Linked DNA regions of Callithrix jacchus. The protein of the gene in region 7 binds, or shares a complex with, the protein of the main gene of each other region. Links are inferred from orthologs where the notes say so. Each region holds a gene or a part of one and is shown on either strand. Other genes may lie near its edges. The genes, in order: STRN3, PPP2CA, PPP2R3B, STK24, STRIP2, STRIP1 and PPP2R1A.

Region 1 (3,500 bases), on a different chromosome or scaffold from region 7:
TAGTTCATGCCTATAATCCCAGGACTTTGGGAGGCTGAGGTAGGCAGATCACTTGAGGTCGGGAGTTCGAGATAAGCCTGGCCAACATGGTAAAACCCCATCTCTACCAGAAAATACAAAAATTAGCTGGGCATGGTGGCGTGTGCCTGTGGTCTCAGCTACTTGGGATGCTGAGGCAGGAGAATCACTTAATCCCAGGAGGCGGAGGTTGTGGTAAACCGAGATCACCACTACACTCCAGCCTGGGCGGACGACAGAGTGAGACTCTGTCTCCAAAAAAAAACCCCACCATTCAAATGTATGTGTTCTCTTAAAACAGTTTTTAGATATAACATAAATTCAGAGGTTGGGAGAACGGAGATTTGAGTTCCTTCTTAGAATTTATCAGTAATTTTTTTTCACTCTCTTTTTCTACAATAGTGGCCCTGTTCTATCCTTAGCTATTAGTTCTAATGGAGACCAGTGTTTTAGTGGTGGTATTGATGCAACCATCCAGTGGTGGAATATGCCGAGTCCCAATGTGGATCCGTATGATACATATGGTAAGTAAAAGGATCAAAATGTATTTTTTTTTTAAGTGAATGGAGCTGACAAAAGTGAATGCCTCAAATATGATTACAAGGTTATTTAAACCTATATTAGTCACCTCATTTAGTTATTCAGTTTGCTAATAAATTGCTTTATTAAAGAGAAAAGTTAGGAAATATCATGCCATGGTTATTTAAACCTATGAATTGACACTTTCTCTGTTAAAAAAAACTATTAATTAAAATGTTAATTTAGGTCGTTACAAAAAGGAGAAGGAAACAAAATATAATCTAAATAACAAAATTTTAAACTTAAGAAATAGTTTATATATTTCAAAAATACCAAGCAAAAGACAATGGAAACAACAGCAAGGGTGTAAATCATTACAACTTTTTGGAGCCAAAAAAATTTTTGTTATTCTTAGCTTATATCTACAAAAACATTTTTAATTTCAAAAAACAAAAACCTCTTTGACTTACAAATGGAGCTTTTAGAAATCTGTCCTACAGAAAAGACCTACCTGGACCTGTGTTCAAATATATTTGTAAGGACATTGTTAATAATTATAAAACATTAAAACAAAATGTTTATGAACTCTTTGTTCTTTCTATTTAACACACACTTTGTGCCTACATTAGCTAGGCATTGTGGTAAGTACTATGTCAAGAAATAAGATCAGTCTAATGGAAAGTAGAGATATAAAACAAATAAGCAAGGTGATGGGATCTATGGTTACAAATTGTGATAAATGATAAGATGATAGGGTTTTGCTTGTGAGGGTCATAAGATGGGAATGCTCCCGGAACGTAGAAGTATCCCACCGTGGGTGAAAGTTCCCGAAGACCTGAAAGATCCAGAAGTGTTCCAGGTCCAGATGCGGCTGCTGGAAGCCATGTTCGGCCGGGACGGATGTCGAATCCCTTACATCGAGCAGGTGAGCAAGGCCATGCTCGAGCTGAAGGCTCTGAAGTCTCCAGATTTCACTGAGGTCGTGGTTTACAGCTCCTATACAAGCTTCGGGCCAAGCGGATACTCTAGTCTAAGGCTGAGTGGCACCGCCAGCACCAGGAACAATGGATGCTCAAACTTGAGGAAGCCATGAATGCCCTCGAACTCAGCCCTTGGATGAAGTGAACCAGCTTCCAACCAGGTTGAAGGCCAGGATGTAGAGATTAATTTGTGGCCAGAGCTGGAGTGATTTCTCCAGCTTGGTTTAAAATCTGTTCCAGGCTGAGGAGTTGAGGGAAAATCATCCCTTTAGGGGTCTCTACCTTGGGTCTTAGTCTTTTTGAGAATATCTCTTTGATGGTTGCCAGTAAAAGTTTTTCTTACCCATTTTAAAAATTAAAAACAAAAACAAAAACGATAGAGTACTGTAAGAGGGAGTAAAAGAACCTTTTCTAGAAGAATTAAGAAAGGTTTATCTAAAATCATGACATTCAAGCCAACATCTGAAGGATAAAAGCTACTTTCAGTAAAGAGTTTTAAGCCATGAAGTTATCTGATAAATGTAAGGTTTTAAAAAGGTGACTGTGTCTGGTGTGAGAAGAATAAATTGGGGGTGAGAAGAGTGGAAAGAGAAATACCATTTAGGAGGCCGCTGTCATACAGTAGTCCAGTAAACTAGGTGACAGACAATATTGCCAAGGTTAGAGTGGTGGTAGCAGAGCAGTTAGAAGTGGTTTTAAGATATACACTGGGGAAGTGTGGTAGAATAGAAAGGATTTATTGATAAATTATGTTGAGTAGATAAAGTGATAAGTGAGTGACTCTTAATTTGGTTGTATGTGTTTTTTAATTAACTGCTTTATTGAGATGTAATTTGCATATCACAAAATTCACCCTTTTAAAGTATACAGTTCAGGCTGGGCACAGTGGCCCACACCTGTAATCCCACCACTTTGGGAGGCCGAGATGGGAGAATCACTTGAGGCCAGGACTTCAAGACCAACCTGGGCAACACAGTAAGACCTGATGTCTACCAGAAATTTAAAAATCATCCACATGTGGTGGCATGTGCCTATAGTCCCAGATGCTCAGGAGGCTGAGCTGGAAGGATCACTTGAGTATAGGAAGTCAAGACTGTAGTGAGCTATGATGGTGCCAGTGTACTCCATTATAGAGAGAACCCATCTCTCTTTCTTCCTTTTCTTTCCTCTTTCCCCTTTCCCCTTTCTCCTTTCTCCTTTCCCCTTTCCCCTTTCTCTTTTACCTTTTCACTTTCCCCTTTCCCCTCCTTTCCTTCGTTTCTTTTGAAAAGCAAGTTATATCTCAATAAAACATTTAATTAAAGAATTTTGTAAAAGTTACGATAATCATTTTACTCCTAGTCATTTTTTTTTAGTGCTTTTCTTTTTTGAGACAGCGTCTCGCTCTGTCTCCTAGGTTGGAGGGCAGAGGCGTGATCTTGGCTTACCTCAACCTCTGCTGCCCAGGCTCAAACCATACTCCTGAGTAGCTGGGACTACAGGTGTGAGTCACCACACCCCACTAATTTTTGTATTTTTTGTAGAAACGGTGGCCATGTAACCCAGGGTTCTCTCAAACTCCTGGGCTCAAGTAATCCTACTGCCTTGGTCTCCCAAAGAATTGGGATAATAGGCATGAGCCACAATGTGCAGCCACAAGACCCCATTTCTTAAAGAAAAGTTAATGCTTAAAAATAGTATACAGTTCAGTAGTTTTTACTGTGTTCACAAAGTTGTGCAGCCATCATCACTAATTTCAGAACATTTTCATTATCAGTCATGAGTGACAAGAGCAACTAAGCATGTGATGGGAGCATTTATTGAAATGGGGGCTGTGAGGAGATTTAAGATGGTGAGTTCTGATTTTAGGCATGTTAAACTATAACAGTATCAAGTAGGTAATATACAAATATGGAACCCAAAGAGATTTCAATTGGAGATAAAAACATGGAGAGTCTTCTCTACTGATGATACATTAAGCTGTAAGAATGGGTGATACAGAGA
Region 2 (4,292 bases), on a different chromosome or scaffold from region 7:
ATTGTTGATGGGATAACAAAATAATGGCCTCAGGATTTTTTTTTTAGTAACAATGACTTCTCACAGTATACATCTACCTTTACTATTAAAGTCTTTCATTTAAATCAGGCATCTTTAGGTGGGTAGAAGGCTTTTTTATATTATCGTTCCTTCTTGTAAGTGAAGAAATTGCCAACTATTCTCAAACAACTATCTTTTCCTCCCAAAATACTACTATTATATGTTAATCAAAAAAATTAGCCCTCAATATTTTCAAAATTACTCTTTAGAAGGCAATCACACCAAAAAGCATATATGCACCTTTCACCCAGAGATGCCACTGGCACACAAATATAAACAGTGAGAGACAGCTTTTGTTTTACTAGAAAGACTTGAACAAAAAATATCAGTTCATGGGTTTCACATACCCAAAAACCTGTCTTCAAATTAATTTGGTTTGAATAAGCTCCTGAAAGTTGAAATAATTACAAGTTATAAACAGTATTAAGGTCGTATAATGATGTCCACCAAAAAGGACCCATTCCACGGAAACTTTTATCTAACATCTACTCTCAAATATTATTTCCATCTTTTTTGGCACTCAGAACTAAAATTTGCGTAAGCTGAGCAAGCAATGGAGATTTACTTCACTATATGTTAGTTTTACAAAGATGTGGAAAGTAATAACGATGCATTAGCTTCACCCACCCCACTTTAGCATCCAGTATTATCTTATTATCTTCCATAGTTTCCAACACAAACCCTCTACTTCCATGCTCTATCTCCCACACATTTCCATACCATGCTTTTCCTTCCAACTAGATTCATAGTTCCTCAACAATAAGCATACTTAGTCTTCATTTATTTTCATTCCGCTCAAAAGAGTATGCAATCTTGGAGCTTCAATAGGTGCTCAATATTAAACACACTACTAATTTAAAAAGGAATTGACTGTATAATCTCAGGCCAATTTTAAACCTTTAAAATAAATACCAACCTCATTTGATGTGAGGTTGGTAAAGAAACAGGAGATTCAATACCTTGCTACCATTAAAATACATCTCCAAGATGATGTGCTACCTCATCAACTAGTAGTAGTTTTGTTCATGCTTGGGAGAAATAAATCTAAATCCGACGTACTTAAATTCCAATTGTTCATAACATGGTTTCTAAAACATGGACACATACACCAAACTCATGAATCTAATTTTCACATCACACCACAAACAAATCAGGATAATAGTTCTCCATTAATTCTTTTCACTAATACAAAATGATAGTATGATACTCCACTATTCTGTACTAAAGTGACATACTGCAAAGTTATTTTTGAAAAGAGAAGTTTAAAAGTGTTCACAGCAGAGATCAGCATTTTTGTGTACTCTAGAAAACTGAGTTACAAGAATTTAAAAATGCAACATACAGCTAATAACTAAATTGGCTACCTGTTTCCCCAATCCCAGGGGAAAACAAAACAGAATTAGCTAATACAAAATATAAAATTTAAGTGTTATTAAGTGGACTACAACATTCTATTTTCAATGCATGTGAGACATTATTTAAACACTAAGCACAATGTTTGGAATACAATCTTAGTCGACAGTTATTACTAATACTACTACTTGCAACCACAAAATTCTATCAAGTTAACTTTTGCAACAAAGAGAAGATACAAAATTTACCGCTCTTCCATTTTGTTGATTTTTAAAATAAATGGCAAAATGCCAAGTGTGTTAAGCTTAGAGAAGGCTTTGAGTCAGCAAATAAATCATATTCAACTGACACTTGATTTCCAGTCCAAAAGCTCCTCATGTATTATGACTTACCAAATTCCCCATTTCTTCCAACTATGAAAAATAAGTTACACTCCTCCAACTACCATGACCTTCGTAGAAATTAGGTTAAGGGAATAATTTTAAAATTCTTAAAGACACCCTCACTTTGGTTTCTGGAGAAGACCGCTTGATGAGTTTAATACAAACCACCCAGGGGTACTAAAGATGTGTGACCTTTACATATGTTCTGGGATATGGCCTAACAAGACCGCCTTTGGGGACAGTACCTCTGGACAGCTTTGGACCTAACTAGGCCTTGGGTACAAGTGGAAAGCCTCTTAGCCCACCGGAGAAGTCTAGGTCCCATTCCCAGGCCGCAGAATCTAAGCCCGCTCACCCTCAAAACCGTCCCTGATGCTGACCCACAGGGTCTCCGCTCCCCCACCCCAGCCACTTCGTCTGGCGCCAAGGCCGGGAGACTCAAAAGCCCAAGACCCGGGTGAACGGCGCCATTTTAGGCGGCGTTGGCGGCGACAACCAATCCCTGCGCGGGAGGCAGGGGGCGCCGGGTCGTTCGGGTGCCGCCGCCGGCCGGGCTGGGCGCCGGTCTCGGTGACTCGGGGGGCCCGGGCCGGCGGCCTCCGCCATGTTGCACCCTCCTCACGGCCTCCCTTTCTTCGGCGGGGTCTGCCCCACGGCTGCTGCCTGAACCCAGACTACACCTCACCTTCTCGCAGAGGCTCTTGACCTGGGACTCGGACAGCTGCTTGCACTCGTTCAGCTGCTCGATCCACTGGTCCAGCTCCTTGGTGAACACCTTCTCGTCCATGATGCCTCCCGCCCCAGCCGGCTGTGGCTCCGCGCTGCTCCCGCGCCGCCGCCCGCACACGGGCCACACGCACACGCCGCCGCCGGCTCCTCGTGTACTTCTGGCGGCTGCTGAGGCTGGCGCTGGCCCGCTGGCTCTCACCGCAATACTCGGCCGTCGGCCGTTGCGCCTCCTCCTCCGCTCGCTCCGGCACCAGAGATCGGCTCTCTGTAATGGCGGCCGCCTGGCGTGGTGACGTCACGCCGGCGTTAGGAGGTGGCGGGGAGCGGACGGGAAAAGGGACCGGGAGCGAGCTGCGCAACTGCGATGCCCAGCCCCGGCGGCCGCACTACCGGAGTTGGGGGCGCTAACTGGGGGTCAAAGCGCAGGCGCGACTTAGCCGGCTGGTAACAGTCGCCTTCGCTTTTAGGGCGTGGCTCCCGGAGGGCGGGTGGTGGGGGAAGGGAAGGATGGAGTTTGAGCGTGCGCAATGCGCACAGCGGCGAACCGGACTAATCCCTTAGCGCTACGCCCCGAGAGGTGAGAGATTGGGCCACGCGCAGACGCAGACCGGATGGAAGTGGGGGTTACTGTCTGTCTGTAACTGGTTCCCCTGGGAAGGCTGTTCTGGTGATGAATTCAGCTCCTCGTCTGGGGCCCGGCAGTCGCGAGAATTGCGACCCCATGGCTCCTCCGGGGTGCAACAGCGCTGGAATTGTGTGGGTTTCCCGCATCTCGGGGGCAGGAATGGGCAGCGAGTGGCCGCCTGGTTGGAATAACCACCCCCACCTCTGGGCGCGGTTGGTGTAATTAGGTCACTCGTAGGTGGAGGAGCGAGTGCCTACCGTGGGAGTGCCGCGCAGTGCACCTGACTTCCCCGGCACACACCAGTCCCCTGACCTAGGTGTCTCGTCGGGCGCGATGGCGATGGCGAGGTTTGGGCTTTTCTTTGAGCCTCAAACCGCGGCTTGGTTCCAGGTGCACGGCTCCTCGCCGATGGTTGCTTTCCTCCAAGTTTGATTCCCCTTGGGAATGAGACCCTCAGCCCCTGCCCTCCCTGGCCTACTTTCTAGAGGAGAATCCCATAGAAGATGGATGCACCTGTCCTGACCGCGTCCCGATGGCGTTAGAAGCAGATGTGATCCGCGCTTTAAAGAGAGCTTGCATACCCTGGGATTGAATCTCTGTCTGGTTGTGAATCGCTTTGGAGTTTGCAAAACGTTTTCACATTCCATTGTCCCTGCTTTTACATACACATCTGGTTCCATAGAGCGCCAACTATGTGCCAGATCCAGAGGGGTAATCCAGACGGATGACCAGCCCTGGAGCTTGTATTCTCAACAGTATGGGCTAAATATGGTTTGGGATAGACAGAGATCATGATGCCCCCGAATTTGACAGATATAGAAGCTTTCCAAAGAACATTTAGCCATAAAGGGAAAGGCAAGAGCTGAACCTGGTCGCCTTTTCCAGGCGCCCCACCCTCAGTATCAGCCAACTCTTCCACACCAAGTGCTCAGCAGTGCTCGGAAGGAGAGTGCTCACTCTGCGGCTCTGAGGGCATCATCCCCACCAACAGGCTGAAGAAGGCACTGGAGGCCCCAGCAGCCAATAGCAAGACTGAAAATCCTCCTTTATCCAAGACAACCTGTTTGGCGAGGCCAACTGGCTTGGCCTCCTGGGCTGGAAATTGTTAATTCTGCTTTCCCTTCATACCTCCCCTTAGTGTG
Region 3 (3,500 bases), on a different chromosome or scaffold from region 7:
CAGCAGCGCTACGTTCTGCCAAAGGACATGGGGCGGGGGCTGAGCTCCGAGGTGGCTGCGGGCAGGGAGAAGGCTGGGGCGGAGGGCGGGGCCGCTCCGTGGGTGCTGGGGACGGGCAGCTGTGGCGGGGGTGCTCCGAGTGGGGGCAGTTCCAGGTTGGGGGAACTGCAGCATGGAAACAGCTTGCTAGGCGGGAGTGGGGGTGCTGTAGGCCCAGGGCTCCCAGGACATGGGGAAAGGGAAGGGAGGGGGTGGGAGACAAAACGGGGAGGAAAGGGAAGGAGGGTGGTGAGAAGAGGGAGGGGACGGGGACGGGGGAGAAAGGAAGGGGGCGGGAAGGGGTGGAAAGGGAGAGGGGGAGGGACATGGGGAGGAACAGAGGAGGGGGAGGGAGAGGAGGAAGAAAAGGGGATGGGGGAGGAGAAGCGGGGGGGGGGTGGAGGAGAAGCGGAGGGGGAGGAAAGGGTTAGGGGCCGCCGCACCTGCAGGAATGAGCTCCTCCGCAGCTCAGCGCAGGTGATCCTGCCGGACCAGGACCGGTTCACTGCGTAGAAGATGCGCTGGATGACCTGCGGGGGTGCGTCAATGTCCTGGGTGTGCAGACCCCGAGGGGCCTCACCCCTCGCAGAGACGGGGAACGGGGGCAGACGGGCACTGCCTTGGTCTCAGCAGCCCCAGGCCCACCAGGGAACAGGCGGGGGCAGTGGGAAGGGCCCTGCGGGAGGCACCACCCCAGGCTGCGCTCGGGGAGGGTCTGGTCACGGGTGCCCCTGTGGACAGGTGGGAAAAGGGGCGTGGACACCCCAAAAAACCACGGTCTGCACGACAGCCTGACTCGATGAATGCTACACTCTGGCCGGGCGCGGGGGCTCACGCCTGTCATCCCAGCACTTTGGGAGGCTGAGGCAGGCGGATCACTTGAGGTCAGAAGATCGAGACCATCCTGACCAATATGGTGAAACCCTGCCTTTTTTTTTGAGACGGAATTTCACTCTTGTCACCCAGGCTGGAGTGCAATGGCGCGATCTCGGCTCACCGCAACCTCCGCCTCCTGAGTTCAGGCAATTCTCCTGCCTCAACCTCCCCAGTAGCTGGGATTACAGGCACGCGCCACCGTGCCCAGCTAATTTTTTGTATTTTTAGTAGAGACGGGGTTTCACCATGTTGACCGGGATGGTCTCGATCTCTTGACCTCGTGATCCACCCGCCTCGGCCTCCCAAAGTGCTGGGATTACAGGCGTGAGCCACCGCGCCCGGCCGAAACCCTGTCTTTGACTGTGGGGAGGCACCACGTGGGGCACCCAGGGCGGCTCCTCGCTGAGCGAACCGTGCGCTGACCACACGTGGGGCTGCATCCCGGGACGAGCAAGGCCTCCTGCCTCCCATCCAGGAGGTCATCCCACTCCCTGCGTGAGGCCTCCTGAGCCTGTCGAACCCCTGACAGCTCCAGGTTATCTGAAGTCTCAGCAGAGGAACCACAACCTATCACGTCTACTGTGTAGCCAGAATGACTGAGACAGACGTGCGGGAAAGAGGAGGCACGGACCCACAAACACCACTGCTGAAAGTCACAGGCTGCGTTTAGGATGTGTGCGCTTCCCCACCTGAGTCCTCCCACACAGCAGACATGTGCTCCCACCCACCTCAGAGTCGCACCACACAGGAGACGTGTGCTCCCACCCACCTCAGAGTCCTCCCACACAGCAGACATGTGCTCCCACCCACCTCAGAGTCCTCCCACACAGCAGACATGTGCTCCCACCCACCTGAGTCCTCCCACACAGCAGACATGTGCTCCCACCCACCTCAGAGTCACACCACACTGGAGACGTGTGCTCCCACCCACCTGAGTCCTCCCACAGCAGACATGTGCTCCCACCCACCTCAGAGTCCTCCCACACAGCAGACATGTGCTCCCACCTACCTCAGAGTCCTCCCACACAGGAGACGTGTGCTCCCACCCACCTGAGTCCTCCCACACAGCAGACATGTGCTCCCACCCACCTCAGAGTCCTCCCACACAGCAGACATGTGCTCCCACCCACCTCAGAGTCACACCACACTGGAGACGTGTGCTCCCACCCACCTGAGTCCTCCCACACAGCAGACATGTGCTCCCACCCACCTCAGAGTCGCACCACACAGGAGACGTGTGCTCCCACCCACCTGAGTCCTCCCACACAGCAGACATGTGCTCCCACCCACCTCAGAGTCACACCACACTGGAGACGTCTGCTCCCACCCACCTGAGTCCTCCCACACAGCAGACATGTGCTCCCACCCACCTCAGAGTCGCACCACACAGGAGGCGTGTGCTCCCACCCACCTGAGTCCTCCCACACAGCAGACATGTGCTCCCACCCACCTCAGAGTCACACCACACTGGAGACGTCTGCTCCCACCCACCTGAGTCCTCCCACACAGCAGACATGTGCTCCCACCCACCTCAGAGTCGCACCACACAGGAGACGTGTGCTCCCACCCACCTGAGTCCTCCCACACAGCAGACATGTGCTCCCACCCACCTCAGAGTCACACCATACTAGAGACGTGTGCTCCCACCCACCTGAGTCCTCCCACACAGCAGACATGTGCTCCCACCCACCTCAGAGTTGCACCACACTGGAGACGTGTGCTCCCACCCACCTGAGTCCTCCCACACAGCAGACATGTGCTCCCACCCACCTCAGAGTCACACCATACTAGAGACGTGTGCTCCCACCCACCTGAGTCCTCCCACACAGCAGACGTGTGCTCCCACCCACCTCAGAGTCACACCACACAGCAGACATGTGCTCCCACCCACCTGAGTCCTCCCACACAGCAGACGTGTGCTCCCACCCACCTCAGAGTCACACCACACAGCAGACATGTGCTCCCACCCACCTGAGTCCTCCCACACAGCAGACATGTGCTCCCACCCACCTCAGAGTCACACCACACTGGAGACGTGTGCTCCCACCCACCTGAGTCCTCCCACACAGCAGACATGTGCTCCCACCCACCTCAGAGTCCTCCCACACAGCAGACATGTGCTCCCACCCATCTCAGAGTCCTCCCACACAGCAGACATGTACTCCCACCCACCTCAGAGTCCTCCCACACAGCAGACGTGTGCTCCCACCCACCTCAGAGTCCTCCCACACAGCAGACGTCTGCTCCCACCCATCTCAGAGTCGCACCACACAGGAGACGTGTGCTCCCACCCACCTCAGAGTCCTCCCACACAGCAGACATGTGCTCCCACCCACCTCAGAGTCCTCCCACACAGCAGACATGTGCTCCCACCCACCTCAGAGTCGCACCACACAGGAGACGTGTGCTCCCACCCACCTCAGAGTCCTCCCACACAGCAGACGTGCTCCCACCCACCTCAGAGTCCTCCCACAGCAGACGTGTGCTCCCACCCATCTCAGAGTCCTCCCACACAGCAGACGTGTGCTCCCACCCACCAGAGTCCTCCCACACAGCAGATGTGTTCCCACCTTAGAGTCCTCCCA
Region 4 (3,500 bases), on a different chromosome or scaffold from region 7:
GTTTACCGTTTTTCCCCTAAATATTGTTAATTGGAATTGATTCCTGCTTGGTGTTGGTAAAGGTGCTTTTCTTGTTGCAGGCAGATATCTGGTCCCTGGGCATAACAGCTATTGAACTTGCAAGAGGGGAACCACCTCATTCCGAGCTGCACCCCATGAAAGTTTTATTCCTCATTCCAAAGAACAACCCACCAACATTGGAAGGAAACTACAGCAAACCCCTCAAGGAGTTTGTGGAGGCCTGTTTGAATAAGGAGCCGAGCTTTGTAAGTTTCCTGGGGATCTGAACATCCCTCCCTATGTGAGTTTTGACTTGGTTTAGATACATCCTGTTGGGATTTCTTTTCAGCTGTCTTCATGGAATTCCTCATTTTTCTTTTTCTATAAATAAGTATGATTGACCTCTTTGGTTTGCAAATACATTTTATAAGTATTAGCAATTTCCTTATTTTGCTTTAGATTTCTACCATCTCATACTTCATTGAATCTGAAGAATATTCTCCTTAATATTAAATGTGGAATCATCAAAGTTTAATATCGATAGAGGATCAGGCCATAAACTGTTACACTGTTTTTAGGAATGGGAAAGTTTAGCTTGGAAATAAGTGGCTAAATATGTCTTTAAAGTAAATGTTTTCAATTTCCAGATGGCATATGTTAGGAAACAAAAGATTAGAAAATACAAATACAACCAAGCCCCTCTTTGCTATCCCCGCCTCTTCCTGCCCACTTCTCTTTTTAGGTTTAATGGACTCTGGCAGAGCCTTACAGCAGTAACGACTGCCTGGCTTTGCCCTGTTTTCTCTTTGAATTAGGACATTTATTTGAAAGTTGTCAGTGTGTGTCGGTGTTGGATGCAGCACCGTATGTCATTGATTTGTTTGAGTTTTCCAGCTGAAGGCCAATCTGAGCACCCCTTTTCCTAACTCTTAATTAAAAATGGGTGGTTACTTTTACAAGAGCACCGTGGTTTTCTAATACACCGGTTTTGGTAAAGGAATTAAGTGGGAAATGCAATATTTTCTTTTTTTTTTTTGAGACGGATTCTCACTCTGTCACCAGGCTGGAGTGCAGTGGCGTGATCTTGGCTCACTGCAACCTCCGCCTCTTGGGTTCAGGGGATTCTCCTGCCTCAGCCTCCTGAGTAGCTGGGACTACAGGCGTGCACCACCACACTCAGCTAATTTTTGTATTTTTGGTAGAGATGTGGTTTCACCTTGTTGGCCAGGCTGGTCTCGATCTCCTGAACTCGTGATCCACTGCCTCGGCCTCCCAAAGTGCTGGGATTACAGGTGTGGGCCACCGTGCTTGGCCAGAATGCAACATTTTCTAAGCACCTCTAAGGAGATGCAGCCGGAGACCACCACGCCAGTGATTGATCACCCCATCAGCGTGAGGTAGTGGTGAGGCTTGTCCCACGTGCCATGATGCTCTGCATTTTATTGCATGATGATGTTTGTTGCACCCACCATGCACTGGTGGAGATGCGGCCGCTTGCAGGCATGCCTTCCCATGCACAGCATGCGTCTAATACGAGCTTATTCCCCAGCACACACCGCTCCACCCTACAGCTACTGAGGAGCCGGCTGAGAGGCGAGAATATGAGCACCTCAGGGGTAGTTGGGGTTTTACCCTCATGTGGACAGAGAGGGAGAATACCTGAGGTGATCAGGTTTCTCACGAGTTTGAATCTGAAAATGTGCTTGACTCTTGTAATCAAGCTTTCGTAGTTTGGAGTGAGTGGGATCTTGGTTTGACTTGGGGTTTGGGTGTTCCTTCTGTCTGTTCCAATTTGGGCCAAGCTGGTTTCCTTGGGAAGCACATTCCCTATCACTGTCACCATCTTCAAGGCAGGTAGCTGGCTGGGTGCTGCTTGCGGTGGCCATGCTGAGCTCAGGGCATGGGTGAAGTCCTCAGCCCAATAACAAGGGAAGGGAGGGACCTGGGCAACAGCCTTTCTAAACTGGGACAGTGGGTGATGAAGAGCACCCCGCTCTTTCAACAGACAGGAAAAAGGGCATCTGCTGGCTCCCTTATGGTTTCTTTGAGATAATTCCAAATTGACATTTCTATTATGTGTCTGGATGTGGTCAAACATTAATACAGAAAGTTAACAAAGCGGCCAGGCACGGTGGCTCATGCCTGTAATCCTAGCACTTGGAGAGTCTGAGGAGGGTGGATCACCTGAGGTCAGGAGTTTGAGACTAGCCTGGCCAACATGGTGAAACCCCATCTCTGCAAAAATAGAAATAATACACTAGGTGTAGTGGCACATTCCTGTAGCCCCAGCTACTTAGGAGGCTGAAGCAGGAGAATCGCTTGAACCTGTGCGGCAGAAGTTGCAGTGAGCCGAGATCTCACCACTGCACTCCAACCTGGGCAACAGAGCAAGACTCTGTCTCAAACAAAAAGTAAAAGCGACACAGAACAAGTATTTTGTCAGCATTTGTCATAAAGTATTTTATAAATTAGGAGATAAGCTCTCATGAATAATCCCTCTGAAGTTCTGTGCAGAGTTTTCTGTGGAAGTGCATTTATCTGGGGGAAGTTCTTGTGCTTTCATTGGATGGCTACCTGTAGAATATTAAGGACCTCCTTGGAAACTCAGTGCCATGCCCACCACAGCACCCGGAGTCCAGGCGTAGGTCCTGAGACTCTCATCTTGGGGCGAGTCACAGTGAGAAGAGCTGTGGAGTGGAGTCCAGTCATCAGGCAGGCTGATGTTTTGAGGCTGAAGTGTGTCCTTTCGGCGGGGATGGAGAGCTTCATCTCATACTTGGGTTGTTGTGTGTGTTTTTCCAGAGACCCACTGCTAGGGAGTTACTGAAGCACAAGTTTATCCTACGCAATGCAAAGAAAACTTCCTACTTGACCGAGCTCATCGACAGGTACAAGAGATGGAAGGCGGAGCAGAGCCATGAGGACTCAAGCTCTGAGGATTCTGATGCGTAAGTGGCCCCTGGGTGGCCCAAGCATGGTGTAGGATGGAGCCGCTGGTCCTTGTCACTTGTTTGGTGTGCATTTCGTTTCTTGTTGAGTTTTTTTCAGATAATCCAGGTTGGTGGCGATTGTTGTGTTAGACACAGCATGGGCCTGTTTGGGCATCATTTAGCCTCTTGATGTTGTCAGTGGAGTTTCTTCGAGGGAACTCTTAGAGCTGTGCGTAGGGGTCCAGACCTGGCTGTTTCACTGTGTTCTGTTTTGTTTCTTTCTGTTCTGTCTTGTTTTCCATTACACTTCATGTTCTTAAAATCCTGACAAGGTGAAATTGTATCACATGAATACCTGAAAGGCTAGAAATGCATGTTTTTGTGATTCCCTGTTGAGTCTGGTAGAAGCTCTGTACCAGGAAGTGACTTACGGAGAACTGCTTTCAAGTTCGGCATCTAGGAATTCCTTTGGCATCAGAGGCAAAGTGGGGCTGCAGCCATTTGTGTGGGGAAGGCTGGGGAGGCAGTCGGGCCAGGGATGTGTCAGGAAGTGGGAGCCTGGGAACTCAT
Region 5 (3,500 bases), on a different chromosome or scaffold from region 7:
CCCATCTCCCAAGGCAGGCCTAATAGGAGGAACCACATATTGACTGCAGAGGAAATTGAGTGACTCTGGGGGTTTATAGTATCTGGATGTGTTCCTCAAAAAAGGAGATAGTTTCCTATTTTTTTTTTTTTTTTTTTTTTGAGGAGGCACCCAGGAATCTCTTTCCTAACTTCTGGTTATGTTTCCCATACTGGGGTAGTAAATAATGCTTTGTCCTGGCCCCTGAGCTCCTCAGTTGCTGTGGGGATTGTAACCACATTTGCCTCTTCCTGCTTTACTGCTTCCTTATTAAGGAGAAGGTCTGAAGGGACTGGGGGTTGTGGCTCTTTCTTTTCATCCATGTTTCCCTGACCTTGGCTCTCTGTTACTTCCCTCCCTTCCTCTCTCTTTGCCCCTTTTCTGTTTCTGCCTTAGTTTACCCTAGGTGGATTCGAGCATCTGCAGACTCTCAAAGTACAGAAGCGGGCAGAATTGGGCCTACCTCCACTGGCTGAAGACAGTATCCAGGTGGTGAAGAGCATGCGTGCTGCCTCCCCACCTTCTTACACTCTTGACCTGGGGGAATCTCAGCTGGCACCTCCACCCTCCAAGCTGCGAGGCCGCCGTGGCTCTCGAAGGGTATGGACTGAAGCAAACAGTGGTACTGTGACACTGACTGGCCAAAAATCAAGATTCTAAGCTACTCTGGGTATGGTAGGAAAAGGCAGTAAATGGGCTCATCCTGCCCAGGTTTGCCCGATGACCAACCTGAAACCTTAGAGTCTCTACTTTGGCCTCTATCCCCCAGCCCTGACAGCCCCTGGGCTGTTGTGATGTAACACTGTGATATCACATTGTATAGCCATGTCTTGTTACAGAATCATTGGCCTGGACCTCAGTGGCTAGAGTTTCTTACATTCTGAACAACAATTAAGGGTATAATCCTGGGGATAGGGACCTAGGGCACCTGAAGAGGGCTCCAAGAAAATCCATTTTTCTGGGATGTAAGGCATTTTACTATTTTGAGATAGCAAGAGGGTTTACTGTCAGCTAGCCACATTCTTAACCAGCCCTGAAACCAAAGGCTTACATTTAAGAGATGACTGGGTAGGGTTCTATGTATATAGCTATGTGACACTTAGTGACAGGGATACAATCTAAAATATGTGTCATGGAGTTTTGTCACTGAGCAAACATCATAGAGTGTACTTACACAAACCTGAATGGCATAGCCTACTGCATACCTAGGCATATAGCCTATTGCTCCTAGACTACCAACCTGTACAGAAGGTTACTATTCTGAAAACCATATGCAATTGTAACCTAATGGTGTTTGTGTATCTCAACCTAGAAAAGGGCACCGTAAAAATACAGTATTGTAATCTTATGGATCCACAATTATATATGCAGTCCATTGTTGACTGAAGCATCATTGTGCAGCACATAACTATAGTCTGCTGTCCTGAAAAGGTCAGAATGACAAGTTATAGTGAGACCTGACTTTGTTCTTACAAACTGCCCTGCTGCCAGTTTATCAACAGGGCTAGACAGTAGTGCTCAGTAATCCAGTCTCTATTATCTGCAATGCAATTTTTTAACCTTTATTTTTGTTTTATAAAGTAATGCTTACTCATTGTAGAAAATTTGGAACAAATATAAAAATGTGACGAAGGGAGAAAAGAAAAATCACCCACAATCTTAACAACCAGAGACAGTCACTGTTAACTTTTTGGCTTATTTCTGTCCAATCTTCTTTTATTTGTGACAAGATTTAAAATTCCAAACTTGCTTCCCTCTGCCTAGCAGTAAGCTTCTGTCCTCCTCTTCCTCAGTCCGCCAGCTGGTGTATTTTCACAGAAGGCAAACTAATTGAATGTTCACCTAAGCAGAGCATAATTAGGAAGGAAAGTGCTGGCAAAAAAAAAAAAAAAGGCATCAGTGCTTTCTGAAAACTAAGTAACTGTGACTTTGGGATTATCTATGCTTTGTTCTCTGGCTAATGGCATGGTTGCCTGAGAACTTCTTGTCCTGTTATTGGGCCCAGTGGGGACAGTAGGGTTGAGATACAGAATGGGATATTTTCACAAGGGCTGTTTTTAGATTCCATGTTCCCTGAAATCTGGAGGCCTGTGGATATGAGGTAGCCTCAGACAAGGATGCCCAGAGTGAGATCTCTGCATGCCTACTCTCCCTTCTTTCCCCTCCAGCAACTCCTTACTAAGCAGGACAGCCTGGACATCTACAATGAAAGGGATCTCTTCAAGACTGAGGAGCCAGCCGCAGAGGAGGAAGAGGAGTCTGCTGGTGATGGAGAAAGAACCTTGGATGGAGAGTTAGACCTGCTAGAGCAGGACCCTCTGGTGCCACCTCCACCCTCACAGGCACCCCTCTCTGCTGAGCGGGTGGCTTTTCCCAAGGGCCTGCCCTGGGCCCCAAAGGTCAGGTAGGTTTAATAGCATCAGGGTCCCCTATGCTTTGAGGTTTCAGTCACCAAAAGCCCAAGATGGAGTAGTCTATGTATTCAAGACTCGTTAAGTTAGCCTGAGTTTGAAATTCTGTCTGTTGATTGCTACCTTTCTCCAGTGCTCCTGTCCTCTGATTTGGAGGGGCAGGAGCCCAGAAAGATTCTCTCTCTCAAAGTTTGCTTTTCTTCCCTTTTCTGGGATTGGTCTTTCCATCATCCTCTCAGACAGAAGGACATTGAGCACTTCTTGGAGATGAGCAGGAACAAGTTCATCGGATTCACCCTGGGCCAGTAAGTGACTGAATGGTTGGAACTGGCTATAGAGTGGTTCCTAGGGGGCCAGGTAGCTTGTAATGAGGAATGGTGGGTGCCTTGTAGTCATAATGCAACCTAGAGCACCCAGGCCGTGGACAACTCCTAGTAATGACTTTGGGTTCTTTCTATGGACTTTTTTTCCTTGAGTTTCTTCCACTTTTACTCGAAGAACTTTTGTGTTTTCAGCCAACTGTAGGACTTGGAGCAACAAATAATTTCTCTTTTGGGCCTTAATTGTTTCATGATGTTGTTGGATTAGGTGTTTCTATGGCCTCTTCCTGCTCTAATGGGCTAAAATTCTGTGAAGAAGAGACATGGTCAGAATAGATCCCATCTTCCCTCATTTCCCTATCCACATGAATCCTTTCCATTGGCCTCCTGAAAATTGAGGCTTTCTTAGTGGGGTTTCAGAGTCAAGGTGTCATTGGGGTATATATTCTTTGAAGTAGGAACCTACCACTCCCACACCAAGTGAGTACCCAAAAGACTATAAAAATCTCCTGATTTCTAGGAACATTTCTGTGTACCATTATTATTTTTGTGTCCTGAAGCATTGACTGGGGACCTGCTAGCTTGCAGAGGAAGATCCAGGGTACTGGGGGTAGAGGTTGTTGAAAGTAGCACGGTCCATGTGACTCTAGGGGAGTATTGGGGTATCAGCAGTTCTCTGTACTTTGGAAGCTTATGATCTTGTATGTCTGGCCTTTTACAGGGACACAGATACATTGGTTGGATTACCCAG
Region 6 (3,500 bases), on a different chromosome or scaffold from region 7:
AGGAACTGCTGAGGGCTCGACTTAGGTGGGGCTCTTGGTTGAGACTCCCAAAGGCAATCCAGGGTCAAGTGACTAATTAGAGCCACAGCTAAGTGTGAGCCTCCTCCTCACACTGTTACGAGGACCCGGGTATGGGGTGTTTTATATTTGGATGAAACACATGATGATGTTCCCTGGGCTCCCTGGGCCTTCTTTGTGTACACAGCTTGATCCTCATCTTCATTGGATTAGACCCAGCAACTTGCTAATGTTTCATGGCTGCCCAGGAGTTCAAGCAACTGCTAAACAACAAGATGACCCTCCAGTTTTTGAGGGTTGAAATCTGGCTGTTTTGTGAATTTGGAGTTTGTAGATTGTGGTTGTAGTGTTCCCTCCTGAGTGTTAGGATCGCTGGGTGTCACGTCCCAGCTCCTGCTTTCCACTTCCTCGTCATAAGCCCTGTTTTTTGTTCTCACTGTGACCCTACAGCTCACTACCACCTCTGTGGTATTTTCTCTTCAGGAAGCTTAGGGCAGTAAATGCTTTTAACCATTCTTGTTCATGTTTGTTTATTCACTACCATTTATTAATATTAAGCCCCTGCCTTGAGTAAGCACTTCGTTAGACACTAGGGTGCTCCCTTGACTCCCGATCCTACTCCATTGTGAGCTGGCTCTTGTCCTCAGGGTCCTGCTCAACATCATGTACCTGATAGTGGAGACTGTTCACCAGGAGTGTGAGGGTGACAAGGCTGAGTGGAGGACCATGCGACAGACCTTCAGAGCCGAGCTGGGTAGGACCCTGGGGATCCTCTGAAGAGGCCCTGCCTGGAGGAGGCAGGAGGCCTTGGGAGGGTCCTGATACCTTTGTGTCACCTCCAGGCTCCCCGCTGTACAACAATGAGCCATTTGCCATCATGCTGTTTGGGATGGTGACCAAATTTTGCAGCGGTCACGCCCCTCACTTCCCCATGAAGAAAGTTCTCTTGCTGCTCTGGAAGACTGTATTGGTGAGCACCTCCTTGGAGGAGAACTCGGGTGGTAGGGGAGGGGCAGTAGGAAGACTGTTCCTTGACTATCCTTTTGAATATTGAATGACGTGGTTATAAAACTGCTTTGGTAAGAAAAATATATATATTTAAAAAGCCGCTAAAGAGATGACAAAGAAGTGCCACTTTTGTTCCACTGTAGCCAGCGAGGACATAGGCCTTGAGTCAGAATAGACTGTTGATCCCTGGAAGCTGTTTTCTCAGTCACAGACAGCTCTCTCCCAGACAAGTTGCCTCTCATCAAGCAGCTCTGAACCTGGAGTTTGTAAAGGGATTTGAGGCAAAGTTAAAGCCTGTGTAACTGGGGCCCTGGTTAGATGTCATTTGAAGGGGCAAGAGTGAGCCCTGAGCCAGTCTTCATTTTCTTCAGGGTATACTGTCAACCTGATTCTGTGTCTAGGGAGGGAGGGACTGGCTGCCAGGGTGGGCCGGCCAGCACACCAGGCTTGGAGTGTTGTTCGCAGCCAGGCCATCCCAGGAGGAGTGGCGTGGGGAGATGGTGGAGGTGAGTTGGGACTGCTGCTGCACTGGGGCTCATCCCTCCTCCTTTCAGAATGGGTTGACCCTGGAGCCAGTAAGTGTAGGATTTCTCAAGAGTCATTGACGCATTTTATCTTGGACACATATTCTGTTCTTCACAACGCCTTGCTGAGGCCAGAGAGGAAAGCTGAATTGCGCAGAAACAGTAAAACTAAGCAGTGTAAAATTGCTGCATGGTTCTGGGGTTTCTGCTTCTTGGGAGGTGTTTAGTTGAAGCTTTTTTTTTCTTTCAAATTTGAGCATCCAACTGTATCTCCAATTTGACTTTGAAAGACTTGCATGTACAACTTGTGAAACATATGAGTCTTACCAACTTCTAGGAACTTGAAGGGTTAGGCTGTTGTCCTTTTTTTAAATTGAAGAGTATGTCATAGGTGCAGAGTTCAGTGTGTCTGTACAAGAGTCAGTCAGCCTGCATCTCTATACCCTTTCCTTGTTCCTTTTTCTCCTTTCGCTTGATGGTGTCACTGAATTCTTGTGAGTGGCTTTAGTCCCTTATTCAGAGGTTGCCTGGGTCTCTATAAAGAGACCCAGGTCATGATGTCATGGGTGCTTCTGAGCCTGACATAATGGTTAGGGACCAACCCTGTGGACATGTTGACCCTGGCTCTGCTCCCGTCTATGATGCAGTGCACGCTGGGTGGCTTTGAGGAGCTGCAGAGCATGAAGGCTGAGAAGCGCAGCATTCTGGGTCTCCCCCCACTTCCTGAGGACAGCATCAAAGTGATTCGCAACATGAGGGCCGCCTCTCCACCAGCATCTGCTTCAGACTTGATTGAGCAGCAGCAGAAACGAGGCCGCCGAGAGCACAAGGTGAGGGCGACAGAGGTCCCTGTGACTCCTGAGGGTCCTCAAGGTGCACGCTGGAGCAGTGCGGTCCTTGGAGGAGCAGGGCTACTGGAAATGAGCACCGAGTAGCCAGTCAGAATCATGCCTCCATGGCAAGGACACTTTGTCCCCTGCTCTGGTCTAGTTTATGATGTGTGCTCAGCACGTGGTGCTTTTGAGGGACCGGAGGAAGAAGTAGTTGATTGTTTGGCCCCCGTCTTGACTCTGCCTCTGGTTGTTCCACTGTTCTAAGCTCTGCCCGACACACCTCTGTGCTCTGTCTCTTCTGGTCTGTGTCCTCAGTTGGCTCTTGTCTCATCTCCCTTCCCTGGTTTCAGGCTCTGATAAAGCAGGACAACCTAGATGCCTTCAACGAGCGGGATCCCTACAAGGCTGATGATTCTCGAGAAGAGGAAGAGGAGAATGATGATGACAACAGTCTGGAGGGGGAGACGTTCCCCCTGGAACGGGATGAAGTGATGCCTCCCCCACTACAGCACCCGCAGACTGACAGGCTGACCTGCCCCAAAGGGCTACCGTGGGCTCCCAAGGTCAGGTGAGTCTCACACCTCCAGAGCATTCTTGGCTTCTGAAGCTAGAGCCTTCACACCCTCAGGCCTGCCACCTGGCCTGCGTCACCGTGAGTGGTCATCTGAGGGCAGGCTGACCCTGGCTCTGAGATGAGGCTCTTTTAAAGCTCCCTGTGCTGGCCTGAGGGTCTCAGGGAGGCTGGCCTTGCTGGTCTCACACAACATGGCCCCCATGTGGCTACTGAGTCAGCAATTTGAGTTAGCTCTTGGTTAGTTAGGCATGCTAGTGAAAGGGAATAGAAACAGATAAAAACAAGAGCATTTAAGCAAACATGCCCCCATCCACCCTGGGCTTGTGTATGACTTTTAACAGAACAGTGATGGATTAAGGAAGCGTTTCTTTAGAGCTATGATGAAAATGTTTGAGGTATATGTGGGTAAATGGGTGGAAAGGTACCTGGAGATACATAAATGGTGTCTGTTTGAGAGGCAGCAACTTAAGAAATAAAGTAGATGAATGTGTGAGAGGATATAGAAGTCACTTTCTTGATCCAGGTAAAGCCTCAGTTTTCAGT
Region 7 (3,500 bases):
ACGCCTGTAATCCAAGTGCTTTGGAGGCCAAGGCGGGCGGATCACCTGAGGTCAGGAGTTCAAGACCAGCCTGACCAAGATGGTGAAACCCCATCTTAAAAAAGTAATAAGATAAAATAAAGATAATTAAAAAAAATTTTTTTTTTGCTCTAGAGACAGGGGTCTTGCTGTGTTGATCAGGTTGGTCTTGGTATCTCGTTCTCAAGCAATTCTCCTTCCTTGGCTTCCAAAGGCCTGGGATTACAAGTGTGAAGTGCCACGCCCAGCCTAAAATAAGACAGTTTTGATCCTCAAAAGCCTTCAGAGACTGGCAGCAGAGACGTACAGGCAATCCCATGATGCCCTTAAGGTGTTAAAGGTGCTGTTACAGTTGAGTTCATGTTTTTTAGGGTTTAGGCTAAGGTGTTGTAATGGAGACCCCAGAATACCTTCTGGCTTAAATTAGATGGAGGATTTTTTTTTCTCTCATAGCAGTCTAGGCGGGCCTACACTGGTGGGTTTGCCCTGCTGACCTCAACTGTCTCAGAGTCTCAGGCAACTGCTCCAGTTTTTAGCATCTTAGCCGGCATGGAGGGGTCAGGCACAGACAACAGCAGACCCAGTTCTCTGAAGGACAAGATTCCCCACGCGTGCTTGTACCCCATACACCCATTGGCCAGGGAGGGTCACATGATCACATCTAGCAGTTCAGGTTACCTGGATTACAGAGGATGAGGGGAGGTGCTGGGTAATGACTAGAGAGATCATTGGGGTGACCACTGGGGAAGGAATTTGGACTTGACTCTGGGCAAGTGCAGGAGCCAGAATACAGTTGGTATTAGAAGGCACCCTAAGGCTTATGTAAAGGGAAGGTTAAAGTGAGGTGGCCAGCAGAAATGTAGGAAGACCAAACCAGAGGCTGCTGTGGGAGTCTGGAAGACTGAGGCTAGATTGAGGGTATGTAGAGAAAAGGCTGCAGTGATATGGAAGGATTCAAGATTGTTCGGGAGGTAGAGGGACCACATGGTGGTTTTTGCCTTGGTAGTGAAAAACTGGGCAGATGGTGCAATCGTTTGCTGGTATATGACGTCTTGGTTCCCAAAGGCCTCAATCCTTGGCTCTTCCCCATCCCCTTCTTTTCTGTACACAGGCGTGCTAGGAAGTTGGAGGAAATACTGTAACAGAAAGTATCACATTTCAGTCCCCCATGCCCCAAAAAGTTACGTTGTTCATTTACGCTACAGTGGAATAATCTCTTAGCCCCAGAATTAGTCAATTTTTTGATACATTGAAAAGAATGTGCGACAGGGCTGGTGGCTCATGCCTATAATCCAAGCACTTTGGAGGTCAAGGTGGGCAGAACACCTGAGGTCAGGAGTTCAAGACCACCTGGGGCAGATCACCTGAGGTCAGGAGTTCAAGACCAGCCTGACCAACATGGTGAAACCCCATCTTAAAAAAAAACGAAAAATGAAAAGAATGTGCTATTTTAAATATATTTTTTGTTCTGGGTTATTCCCTATTAATGGGTTATTAACAATGTGGGGTTTTTTTGTTTTTTTTTTTGTTTTTTTTTTTTTGAGAGGGCGTTTCGCTCTTGTTATCCAGGCTGGAGTGCAATGGCGCGATCTCGGCTCACTGCAACCTCAGCCTCCTGGGTTCAGGCAATTCTCCTGCCTCAGCCTCTGGAGTAGCTGGGATTACAGGCACGCGCCACCATGCCCAGCTAATTTTTTGTATTTTTAGTAGAGACGAGGTTTCACCATGTTGGCCAGGATGGTCTCGATCTCTTGACCTCGTGATCCACCCGCCTCGGCCTCCAAAAGTGCTGGGATTACAGGCTTGAGCCACCACACCTGGCATGTTTTTTGTTTTTTTGAGATGGAGTTCTTATTGCCCAGACTGTAGTGCAATGGCATGATCTTGGCTTGCCACAACCCCCACCTCTCGCTTGCAATCTATTCTCCATCCGCAGCCTCCTCAGTAGCTGGGATTACAGGCATGTGCCACCACGCCTGGCTAATTTTGTATTTTTATTAGAGACAGGATTTCTTCATGTTGGTCAGGCTGGTCTTGAACTCTTGACCTTAGGTGATCCGCCCGCCTCAGCCATGGCCCCGGCCCAAAGTGCTGGGATTACAGGCATGAGCCACCGCACCCATCCTACAGTATAGTATTTTTAATCAGTTATTTACATCAGTTGCTAAAAGTTTAAATCATCATTAATGTTCATGACAAATTTTATGACTTAAGTAATATATCTGAGTTATGCTTCACATGCACATATTTTCTTTTATAATCTTTTATAGATGTTATATATACAATTTTTATTTATTTTGATGCTTTAATGGCATAAGTTGGTAGGTGAGAGCCCCTCAAGTTGTCTGCTATGCCATTTCACACCTCTCCAGAGTTTTCGAGAGCATTTTGCCTCTGGCATCGGGAAGGATCCAGGCTCAGCCCAGTGTGAAGGCAAGCCCATACATGCTGCAAGTACACTAGAATTGAAGCATTTTTTGCTCTAGTTTCACCTTCAGCAAGCACGACATGGTAATCACATGCTGGCAGCCAGCCTGTCTCAGGGCAACTTCTTACAGAGAAAAAAAGAACCAGCATGGTTTTCTTAGTGTGAGGAATTCATCTGACTTGTATTTGGGACTTCCATTTTAGATTTATGAATTTTGTATTTCACATTTTGACTCTCACCAGAATTTATAAACTTGTCTAAATGAAAAAGTCTACTTTTTTCTTGGTGCACCAAAAAGAAGTCTTTTTAAATGGGTAAGGTGTATTCTCTGAACCTTCTCTTCTCATGCACTGAGCGCCTTGAGGCCACGCACCCAGGACAGGAGCTGGGCAAGGGCCAGTCCTATCTTCGGAATGTGCAGGGTTTGAACAGGCCAGGCCTGCCAGCCTTGTTACTTGGTTTATTGATTCATTTCAGTGCTCACTCATTTCTTTAGACTAGAATAGTTTTAATAAGGAAATAGTTTTCTTCCCTTCCCTCTCCCATGTTGTGGATTGATATCCAAAAATGAACCCTTGTTAAAAAGCAGCAGAGCTAGGATTAGAAGAAGCACGTCTGCCTTTTTTTTCCAGGGTGCTGTATTTAAGTCCTTTCAAAATGGATAAACATTTCTTGTGAGACTATTGTAAGGTTTAAAAATCTACTTACCTCAGTGATCCATGCTGCTGCTTTTTGTGTGCCTTTATTGTGTCCCCAGGACTGGGAGCTGGGCTTGGGCAGGTGTAGGGCCTCAGGAGATGTCCATTATACCAAGTTGATGCAGCTGAGCTCTTTCCACCCTGTCCTGGGTTGCTGGGTGCATGGCATTCTCTCAGAATCCTTCTTTCCTCTCCTCAGTGCCCTGAGGTACGGCTGAACATCATCTCCAACCTGGACTGTGTGAACGAGGTGATTGGCATCCGACAGCTGTCCCAGTCCCTGCTCCCTGCCATTGTGGAGCTGGCTGAGGATGCCAAGTGGCGGGTGCGGCTGGCCATCATTGAGTACATGCCCC

What was found.
Region 1: the proteins of PPP2R1A (region 7) and STRN3 are in contact, whole or in part, in a crystal structure (PDB 6IUR), measured with the Homo sapiens proteins. The link is inferred for Callithrix jacchus from reciprocal best matches to the Homo sapiens genes PPP2R1A and STRN3. Residues at the interface, in NP_055040.2 of Homo sapiens: Leu10, Pro12, Val15, Asp18, Glu19, Asn22, Leu27, Asn30, Ser31, Lys34, Leu35, Thr37, Ile38, Leu40, Ala41; in NP_001077362.1 of Homo sapiens: Asn109, Leu110, Asp113, Arg116, Arg117, Lys119, Met120, Leu121, Tyr123, Ala124.
Region 2: the proteins of PPP2R1A (region 7) and PPP2CA are in contact, whole or in part, in a cryo-EM structure (PDB 8UO5), measured with the Homo sapiens proteins. The link is inferred for Callithrix jacchus from reciprocal best matches to the Homo sapiens genes PPP2R1A and PPP2CA. Residues at the interface, in NP_055040.2 of Homo sapiens: Trp257, Arg258, Tyr261, Met262, Glu297, His304, His340, Ala415, Lys416, Trp417, Arg418, His454, Val455, Tyr456, Ala457, Arg459, Glu460, Pro493, Asn494, Tyr495, Leu496, Met499, Phe503, Pro532, Val533, Ala534, Asn535, Phe538, Asn539, Lys542; in NP_002706.1 of Homo sapiens: Lys4, Thr7, Lys8, Asp11, Arg49, Pro51, Val52, Thr53, Glu67, Phe69, Arg70, Ile71, Gly72, Gly73, Lys74, Pro76, Asp77, Thr78, Asn79, Arg106, Tyr107, Arg108, Glu109, Arg110, Glu277, Leu278, Asp279, Asp280, Leu287, Phe289.
Region 3: the proteins of PPP2R1A (region 7) and PPP2R3B are in contact, whole or in part, in a crystal structure (PDB 4I5N), measured with the Homo sapiens proteins. The link is inferred for Callithrix jacchus from reciprocal best matches to the Homo sapiens genes PPP2R1A and PPP2R3B. Residues at the interface, in NP_055040.2 of Homo sapiens: Leu10, Ile13, Ala14, Ile17, Ala41, Leu42, Arg46, Ser49, Glu50, Leu51, Pro53, Phe54, Asp57, Ile59, Asp61, Glu62, Asp63, Glu64, Glu100, Glu101, Thr102, Arg105, Asp139, Trp140, Phe141, Asp177, Thr178, Pro179, Met180, Arg183; in NP_037371.2 of Homo sapiens: Ser122, Ser124, Ile125, Pro126, Thr127, Phe128, Tyr129, Arg275, Trp277, Ser278, Ala284, Glu285, Arg288, Arg354, Ser357, Gly358, Ala359, Val360, Thr361, Arg362, Gly363, Arg364, Gln367, Lys368, Glu394, Arg398, Asp401, Leu402, Asp403, Gly404.
Region 4: PPP2R1A (region 7) and STK24 share a complex: the UniProt entries of both Homo sapiens proteins name them as parts of the core of STRIPAK complex. The link is inferred for Callithrix jacchus from reciprocal best matches to the Homo sapiens genes PPP2R1A and STK24.
Region 5: PPP2R1A (region 7) and STRIP2 share a complex: the UniProt entries of both Homo sapiens proteins name them as parts of the core of STRIPAK complex. The link is inferred for Callithrix jacchus from reciprocal best matches to the Homo sapiens genes PPP2R1A and STRIP2.
Region 6: PPP2R1A (region 7) and STRIP1 share a complex: the UniProt entries of both Homo sapiens proteins name them as parts of the core of STRIPAK complex. The link is inferred for Callithrix jacchus from reciprocal best matches to the Homo sapiens genes PPP2R1A and STRIP1.

The regions. Positions count from the first base shown.
Region 1 is NC_133509.1:65,333,295-65,336,794, reverse strand, and holds part of STRN3 (striatin-3), read left to right. Parts: intron 1-420; coding exon 421-542; intron 543-1,166; exon of another isoform or gene 1,167-1,889; intron 1,890-3,500. UniProt on the Homo sapiens protein: Calmodulin-binding scaffolding protein which is the center of the striatin-interacting phosphatase and kinase (STRIPAK) complexes.
Region 2 is NC_133503.1:74,102,590-74,106,881, reverse strand, and holds the start of PPP2CA (serine/threonine-protein phosphatase 2A catalytic subunit alpha isoform), read right to left. Parts: upstream 2,801-4,292; 5' UTR 2,584-2,800; coding exon 2,482-2,583; intron 1-2,481. UniProt on the Homo sapiens protein: Catalytic subunit of protein phosphatase 2A (PP2A), a serine/threonine phosphatase involved in the regulation of a wide variety of enzymes, signal transduction pathways, and cellular events.
Region 3 is NC_133524.1:748,081-751,580, forward strand, and holds part of PPP2R3B (serine/threonine-protein phosphatase 2A regulatory subunit B'' subunit beta), read right to left. Parts: intron 570-3,500; coding exon 483-569; intron 16-482; coding exon 1-15. UniProt on the Homo sapiens protein: The B regulatory subunit might modulate substrate selectivity and catalytic activity, and might also direct the localization of the catalytic enzyme to a particular subcellular compartment.
Region 4 is NC_133502.1:14,170,682-14,174,181, reverse strand, and holds part of STK24 (serine/threonine-protein kinase 24), read left to right. Parts: intron 1-80; coding exon 81-266; intron 267-2,802; coding exon 2,803-2,948; intron 2,949-3,500. UniProt on the Homo sapiens protein: Serine/threonine-protein kinase that acts on both serine and threonine residues and promotes apoptosis in response to stress stimuli and caspase activation.
Region 5 is NC_133512.1:117,744,071-117,747,570, reverse strand, and holds part of STRIP2 (striatin-interacting protein 2), read left to right. Parts: intron 1-414; coding exon 415-618; intron 619-2,186; coding exon 2,187-2,422; intron 2,423-2,668; coding exon 2,669-2,734; intron 2,735-3,470; coding exon 3,471-3,500. UniProt on the Homo sapiens protein: Plays a role in the regulation of cell morphology and cytoskeletal organization. Required in the control of cell shape. Calmodulin-binding scaffolding protein which is the center of the striatin-interacting phosphatase and kinase (STRIPAK) complexes.
Region 6 is NC_133508.1:147,895,649-147,899,148, forward strand, and holds part of STRIP1 (striatin-interacting protein 1), read left to right. Parts: intron 1-665; coding exon 666-772; intron 773-860; coding exon 861-988; intron 989-2,197; coding exon 2,198-2,380; intron 2,381-2,733; coding exon 2,734-2,951; intron 2,952-3,500. UniProt on the Homo sapiens protein: Plays a role in the regulation of cell morphology and cytoskeletal organization. Required in the cortical actin filament dynamics and cell shape. Part of the striatin-interacting phosphatase and kinase (STRIPAK) complexes.
Region 7 is NC_133523.1:45,600,625-45,604,124, forward strand, and holds part of PPP2R1A (serine/threonine-protein phosphatase 2A 65 kDa regulatory subunit A alpha isoform), read left to right. Parts: intron 1-3,343; coding exon 3,344-3,500. UniProt on the Homo sapiens protein: The PR65 subunit of protein phosphatase 2A serves as a scaffolding molecule to coordinate the assembly of the catalytic subunit and a variable regulatory B subunit.